Macaca fascicularis: one gene and its partner. The protein of the gene in region 1 purifies or fractionates together with the protein of each later gene. This does not show direct contact. Links are inferred from orthologs where the notes say so. Each region holds a gene or a part of one and is shown on either strand. Other genes may lie near its edges.

What was found.
Region 2: the proteins of DBF4B (region 1) and CDC7 purify together in Homo sapiens (affinity purification with mass spectrometry; 3 studies listed by BioGRID and IntAct, counting the BioPlex papers as one, with this or other methods). This does not show direct contact. The link is inferred for Macaca fascicularis from reciprocal best matches to the Homo sapiens genes DBF4B and CDC7.

What each region holds. Positions count from the first base shown.
Region 1 is NC_088390.1:65,793,962-65,797,774, reverse strand, and holds part of DBF4B (protein DBF4 homolog B), read right to left. Parts: intron 3,013-3,813; coding exon 2,896-3,012; intron 1-2,895. UniProt on the Homo sapiens protein: Regulatory subunit for CDC7 which activates its kinase activity thereby playing a central role in DNA replication and cell proliferation. Required for progression of S and M phases.
Region 2 is NC_088375.1:142,924,498-142,928,747, forward strand, and holds the start of CDC7 (cell division cycle 7-related protein kinase), read right to left. Parts: upstream 3,100-4,250; 5' UTR 3,091-3,099; coding exon 3,036-3,090; exon of another isoform or gene 2,965-3,035; intron 2,546-2,964; exon of another isoform or gene 2,227-2,545; coding exon 2,083-2,226; exon of another isoform or gene 1,562-2,082; coding exon of another isoform or gene 1,519-1,561; intron 1-1,518. UniProt on the Homo sapiens protein: Kinase involved in initiation of DNA replication. Phosphorylates critical substrates that regulate the G1/S phase transition and initiation of DNA replication, such as MCM proteins and CLASPIN.

The DNA of each region.
Region 1 (3,813 bases):
GGCCTCAAAGTGATCATTCCCCCTTGGCCTCCCCAAGTGCTGGGATTACAGGCGTGGTCTATCTTCAGAGATAGTTCATAGATACACAAGTACATATGTATCCTTCATTCCCTCTTCTTACATAAAGAATCATGGCTGGGTGCGGTGGCTCAAGCCTGTAATCCCAGCACTTTGGGAGGCCGAGACGGGCGGATCACGAGGTCAGGAGATCGAGACCATCCTGGCTAACACGGTGAAACCCCATCTCTACTAAAGAATACAAAAAAACTAGTTGGGCGAGGTGGTGGGCACCTGTAGTCCCTGCTACTCGGGAGGCCGAGGCAAGAGAATGGCGTAAACTTGGGAGGCGGAGCTTGCAGTGAGCCGAGATCCGGCCACTGCACTCCAGCCCGGGCGACAGAGCCAGATTCCGTCTCAAAAAAAAAAAAAAAAAAAAAAAAAAAAAATTCATATAGGCTGGGCATTGTCGCTCATTCCTGTAATCCCAGCACTTTGGGAGGCTAAGGTGGGTGGATCACGAGGTCAGGAGTTTGAGACCAGTTCGCCAACATGGTGAAACCCCATCTCTACTAAAAATACAAAAAATTAGCTGGGCGTGGTGGTGTGTGCCCTGTAATCCCAACCACTCGGGAAGCTGAGGGAGGAGAATTGTGTGAACCCGGGAGGTGGAGGTTGCAGTAAGCAGAGATCACCCCACTGCACACCTGCCTAGGCAACAAACAGTGAGAGACTCATTCTCAAAAAAAAAAAAAAAAAAAGAATCATATAGTATTGACTGTGCTGATAGTATTGACTGTGCTGGATGTTACTTGGTTTTTCTTTTCATGCTGCCCCAGGCTGCACTCTCCATTTGGCAGGGGTGAGGCACCACTCGGATCTCCTCCAGCCTCTACCCCTGGGAGGAAGGTTGCACCGGTGAGGGGATAGAACTGGAGGCTGGGTGTGGAATATAGACTTTTCACATTAAACCATTTGTAACACAAATTTTAAACTTTTTAAGTTTTAAAAATTTTAAACTTTAAAATAATGATTTCAAAAATGTAAAAATTTAAACACTTCTTCCTACACAGATTTTCCACACACATACACACACGTCTGGAACTTTGATGTCCTACCAGGGCCAACCCCCTGCCTAGGCTCCTCACATGCAGATACCAAAGCTTCATTGCTTCATCTTCCCTTTAAAGCCTCTTAGCTCCTCTGTGATCTCAAGGCCATCCCAGGCCTAGCATCACTACCAGCGCCAAGCCTGGGTCACCTTCTGACTGGCTCTCTCTGGTATCCCTTGTATTGGGACTTAACCTCACCTCTTTCTCTCCTTGCTCCCACTTCATCTACTGCCACATTCCCTTAAATTTTTCCCTCTTATTTGTACTATTTTCTGACCCACAGCCTTTGTCAGATGGAAACCACAGACCCTCCTTGGCCCCAGGAACTCTAGGGCTAAGAGTCTGCTCTATTCTTTCCTGGTCTATAACCCCATAGCCCAGAGGTTAGAAAGGGTCTGAGAAGGCATCTCACCCATCACCTGAGCTGAACTCCTTCTCTACTTTGGTTAATGAGGGTTCAAATTCTCAAACATCTGCACAGTAGACATATTAACAAGCCCACAAGCCATGAGTCACGTAATGCAGTGATCTTCTCTCCCGCCCTGCCCCTTAGTTATTCCTGACATTTGGCCCAACCAGTTTAAACTTTGATATTCACTAAAATCACCTGGGAGCTTGTAAAATACAGCTTTTGGGGCTCCATCATCAGAGATTTTGATTCTATAGATGTGGGGTGGAGTTCAGGACCCTGCATCAGGGTTTCACTCTGTCACCCAGGCTGGAGTGCAGTGGCACAACCATAGCTTACTGCAACCTTGCACTCCTGGGCTCAAATGATCGTCCTGCCTTAGCCATCTGAGTAGGTGGGACTACAGGCACTTGTCATCATGCTTGACTAATTTTTTTTTTTTTTTTGAGAACGGGTCTCACTCCATCGCCCAGGCTGGAGTGCAGTGGCACAATCTCAGCTCACTACAACCTCTGCCTGCTGGGTTCAAGCAATTCTCCTGCTTCAGCCTCCCGAGTAGCTGGGATTACAGGTGTGCGCCACCATGCCCAGCTAATTTTTTTTTTTTGGCATTTTTAGTAGAGATGGGGTTTCACCATATTGGCCAGGCTTGCCTCAAACTCCTGACCTCAAGTGATCCGCCCACCTTGTCCTCCCAAAGTGCTGGAATTACGGGCATGAGCCTCTCTGCCCGACTCATAATTTTTTACGTTTTTTTTTTTTTTTTTGTAGAGACAGGGTCTTGCTATGTTTGTGTGCCCAAGTTGGTTTCAAACTCCTGGCCTCACATGATCCTCCCACTTTGGCATCTTAAAGTGCTGAGATTACAGGTATCACCCGTTGTGCCCAGTTAGAACTTGCATTTTTAATGAGACCTCAGGGGACTCTGATGATGGTGGTCTATGAGTTTGAGAAAGCAGTCTATTGTCCTCTGTGTATACTCGGTAAACCCTGCCGAGCACACCATGTTCGGTTGCAATGGTCCATGCTCTGGGGGAAACAGTGCAGGCCAGGGGTTCTGGGTGGACAGGGTAAGAGTGCTGTGACTCAGCAGTGAATTAGGAAATAAGTCTTCTTGGACTCTTAAGGAGAAAGGGGTGCCCCTCACAACCCTGGCACCTCCCTTTCTTCTTCAAGTTAAATTCTTCAGTACGGATGAAGAACACAAAATAAAATGGATGAATGCTCCTAGTCTCTCTTCTCTGGGCTACATTCCCAGAATAGACTTTGCCTAAGGAGCAAACACATGGCCATTCCCAAATCTGACCAGCAGGCCCCCAATAGGGAGGACTTTGGCCTGTAACCAGCCCTTGGTACTCAGGAACCAGAAAGACCCACCTGGTATGGTGCCTGCTGCTCAGGGTCGTCAGGGCTTCAAAGGGACTTGCATCTTTGGGTCCAAGAAAAGAAATTTCAGGAAAGGATTTAAACTGATGATGGAAAGGACGAAACTTCCTGCAACAGAGAAAACTTCTACTTTGACTACAATGGGGAAGGTAAAGGCTGAGGAGGGGGCCTCGCCCAATGCCCTAGAATTCCAGCCCTGATAAAGTGGACTCTCACCTCCACATCTTTTAAATTCTGTAACAAAACTCATCAGCCTTTCTAGGTTAAATTAATATGCATGTTCTCCCTGTCTACTTTTCAAACTCATACCACTGCCTCCCTGAAATCCTATAAGCACCCTCTGGGTTTATCCTATATCTAAGGAAATGAAGCCCAAGAGGTTCTGTGACTTGCTCAAGGGCTCACAAATAGTTAAGCGGCCAAGGTCAGATCAGAAGCCACGTCTCCAGACTCCCGATCTACTTTTCCCCACCTTCCCATTTTGTTTCTTGACCCTACACAATCCTTGAGGACTCTAGCCTGGCAGATTCTAAATGGAAACATGTTTAAACCAGAACAGTTATTTCCCTGTTTTGTGAAGCGTTCTTGCTGGTCCTTAGAATCATCTGAGGGCTGGTGTTCTGAACAGAGAAGACAGGCACAGTGAAGGTTCTGGATAGTCAGACCTGGACTGAGTGGTTCTGGCAGTGTGCCTGAAGTTGCAAACATTCAAGAGACTTGCAGAGACAGAAGTGATCTGTGTATACTTCGCAAACCCTGCCGAGTGAGGTAACTGCTGGGCACACCATGTTTGGTTGCAATGGTCCATGCTCTGGGGTAAACAGTGCAGGCCAGGGGTTCTCAGGGAGCAGGGTAAGAGTGCTGTAGCTCAGCAGTAAATTAACAAAGAAGTCTTCCCGAACCCTTAAG
Region 2 (4,250 bases), on another chromosome or scaffold:
ATAGAAACAATCTATAGGGTCAACAGTAAAAGGTGATTAAATATAATATACAATGGACCTTAAATCCAGTTGTAGAATATTTACTACATCAGCAATATTCAAGATATATATTAAACAAAAAATGGAGATCAGAAATAAGATCTCATACTCCGGTTCAGGCAATATTTCAATAATGCAAAAAGACTTTATTTTGGCTTTCTTTACTTCAAAACTTTCAATAATCATGTTTATCAGAAAAATGTTATAAAAAATCTTACAAATATCTCAAAATAAAGAGACATGCTATTCATCCATTACACTAAGTATTTTACTTTATATCCTTACATTAAATCATTCATTCAAATATTTTCAAGCACCTACTATGTGCTGGACACTGTTAAGCTCTGGGAATGCAAAGATATATAAAACATCCAATCAAAAATATAACTTCAATAAGGAGTAAAGCTGATAAGGTGCAGGGATATACCTGTCTTATGATCTAATTTGATTTACTTTCCCAATTAGATTACGAGACTGTTACGTGCCTGGACCTCATCAGCTTTACTCCCCATTGAAGTTATGTTTATATAATTTTAGCTGTTATTAAGGATCATATTTTAAAAAGAGCTGCAATAGTAAAGTTTTAGCATGTTTTACAATTTATCGTATTATTTATAATGTCCAATATTCTGTTACATAAATGCTACAAAACTTTTGAAATCTGGAATAAAATTCACCCCATTCTTTACTTCCCAGCAGATTTTCAGAATATTAGAATAGTGGCATTCTCCTAAACAAGATGCCAGAACCAAGTCAGAGTCATCCATTCAGATACTCTGCTGAAGTCACAACATACTTCAGAAGCCAGAGGAGATACTGCCACCAAGGGGCTTACAGTGGAGACAAAATGCAGAATCCTAAGCGATAGAAAAAGAATACTACAATGACTGTGTTACTGTGTTATGTGTCCAATGACTAGTAAGGGAAAGATGAACTAAAAAAACAGCTAACTGCTGGAAAAATGGAAAGGAAGAGGAACAGTATCCACGAAACTGGATGAAAGTGGCATTTTAAGATTATTCTAGCACCAACGTACCAGATGAACTGAAGGATGGAAAAGTGCAAGCAGGCAGCATAGGTGAGAAACTGTTGTAAATCAGGAACAAAGTGTAAGGAAATGAATTAATGTGGTGGAAATGGGAATGGAAAGAAGACACAATGCCATACCTATTAAAAAGAAATAAAGCTAGGTGACGATATGGGGAACAAATAAAAAGCATCAGCTGAAGATTAAAGTTTCAAGTTTAGGTAACTGGGATAAATGACTTCCATCAAAGCAGAAAGTATGTGATGTCATATTTTTCTAGGGTGGGGTTATAAAGAATATATGGACAAAAGGTCAAAATAAGTATCTTTTGGACAAGCACAGAATTCACTTCAGACAAAGATGGAAAAGATCTGGCTACCCTTTCAGGAAAACAAATACAGTCAACTAGAATTCCTCTATTTAACAAATATTTATTATTAATAAATACCTACTATGTCCCAGGTCCTGTGCCAGAGCAGAAATGAAAGCACACATGCGAGTGTACAAAAGCACGCACTGCTTGATCCTGTCCTCTTCACCCCAAGGTCTGGTTTATGGCCAAACAACATTTCATGCTCTACACTGAGATATGGTGCTTTATTATTGCTACAAACATTTCATATTTTTTTCTCTGTGAGTTCTGCTTTTGAATACTTAAGTGATGATCTCCAGTGTCAATTTCTAAATTTAAGCTTAAGGCAATGTGGTGAGTAGAGACAAGAACACAGGTAGAGAAGAGAAATTTAATTTGGGCATCATCAAATTTCTGCATTCTTAGTTACCAATATTGATGACCATAACAACTTCAACCGTAAAACGGGTTGTATTACAGTCTTCCAAATTGCAATTCAGTCCTACATTTAGATCATATGAAGCTCTGTTTTAAAACACTGTCCTATAGAAACACACAACTCACTTTAAGATTCAATCTACTTATTTTTTGAGAGCAACTGAAAACACAGAATTGTTGCCTGAAAAATCTCTGCAACTGTACATCTTTGGAATTAAACACATACCTGCAAGTTTAAAATTCTGCTCGTTTTTTTTTAGAGAGCCTTCAGCCTGAGACCGGTCACGCTGGGGAGAAAAAGCCATTGGCTCATCCATTTGAATCCCCAAAGACGCCTCCATCACAAGACAATTGGGATGCAAAATGCCAGCTAAGGGGTTACATCCACAGGGAAAGCAAAGCAGCTGTAAAAATTGTAACACTGGAGAAGTTTAGATCACTCGCTAAACCACGCACTAAAAACATGCCACTGCCCCCAAAGGGGCAAACATTTTCAAATGCACCATGTGTCCAAACCTCCACAGTAGGGCACACTGTGGCCTTTTCTAAGGAATTCCATGTGCTTTATTTTCACCTATCAGAAACGCCGGCAGGGGGCTGCAGGGAGAATTTCCCGGCTTGGGTACCCGCGCAGCAGCCGGCGCAGTGGGAAACGGCGAGGCTGCGAGTCCGGCGTAGCCTGCGGGACCGCGTGGGGGAGGGGCCGAGCGCCAGGGGCGGTTTGAAGTCAGGAAAAGGACAGAGGGAGAAAACCGTTTCGCCACTGACAGGGAGCGCCAGGAAGCTCGTCCAAGGCCCCACGCAAGTTGATGGAGAACTGATACGACCCTGGCTACGAGTACTGGGCGGAGGAGGAGATGGCTTAATGAATGGGAATCCTCCGACCAGCCCTGGCCGCGAGGTCAGCCGGAAAAGACCGGCTTCCCTCGGGCCAGAGACCGAACCAGATGCTTAGTACGCAGGCGCGCGACTTTCCCGCCGCAGGTCGGAGGGATCCGAAGGGGGGCGGGGAAAGGAACTGCACGGCGAGAAAACCGAAGTCACCATCCAGAATTCGTTCCTAATCCCTCACAATCCCGCGCCACGGAACAAACCGTCTGAAACTCACGGTTTAAGGGAGTACGACTTCTGGGGCTCCCCAGATGCCTGGGTCGCCGTCTCCAAGAGCTCCCCACCTACCGAGTGGATCGGATGCGCCTGCGCAACACTTCCCGCCGCAGCTCTCGTTGCACATGCGCACACTAAAGCCCTCGACCCAGCGGATTCCGCTACTGGGCGCTTGCGCAAGAGGGTGGGGTTTCTTCCCGCCCCCTTGGCCAGCTGGAAGAGCGGTTACGGGAATGAAACCCCGGGATGATCTTAAAAAACAGGGTGAACCATAAGGCTAAGGGCCCAACATGATTTCCAGGAAAGAAACTAGCTCAGAGAAGGAAACACCTCAGGTGCTGACACATCCCTATATACCGTGGCCGCACAACACTTGGGTACTCCATGGATAGAAGGCACTTTCTTGACTCTGCTTTTATTTCCTTTTCATTGAGTGCCCTACTTTCCGTTAAAAACAAGCAGAAAATGCTGATTATTTGTGACTGTGTTAGTAGAAATTAGCACAGTGGCAGGAAGGCAGTGTGTACTGTTTACTGAGTCCTTGGCTCTGAGGTAGGCGGATTTCTAGGGGCTGAAATCATAGTGAGCAAGACAAACACCATCCCTGTAGGAAGCTAAATTCCAATGAAGCGATGACAATAACGGATGAATACATGAACAGTATTCTTTCCGGTATTGATTACTACTTGAAGGAAATAAAATGAAAAGATGTGATAGTGCCTAGAAAGGTGGCATCTAGATGGTCAGGGAAGCCCTCTCAAAGAGACCTGGATGAGAAAGAGCTGGCAGGGAGACTATTGTTCTGGCAAAGAAAGGACAGGGCAAATGCAGAGAGAAAGGAACTTGGTATGTTGCGGGGGCAGGGCAGGAAAGGCCAGTGTGGGGGAAGCATAGTGAGTGAGCGGCAAGATAGTCCCAGATAGATGAGGGTGGAGAGTTAGGCAGAAGCCAGACCGTGGTCCTTGAAAGCCAGGGTAAGAAGTTTGGCTTTTATTTTGAGTACAATAGGAAGCTATTTGAAAGTTTTAAAGCAAGGGAGTGATATGATCTATGTGTTATGAAGAGAATGGATTATAGAGGGGCAAATGTGGAAGCAGAGGAAATAGGATGCACTTCATGTTTAGGAGAAAGATAATGATAGTTTGGACCAGAACAATGGCGGAAGAAATAAAAGAAAGAAGACAATGGGATTTGGTGATTGGCTGTGGAAAATTAAGAAAAGGGCATCATCAAGAGTGAATCTGAGGTTTTGGGGCTAGCATATGTGTGGGTGGTAGTGCCACATAG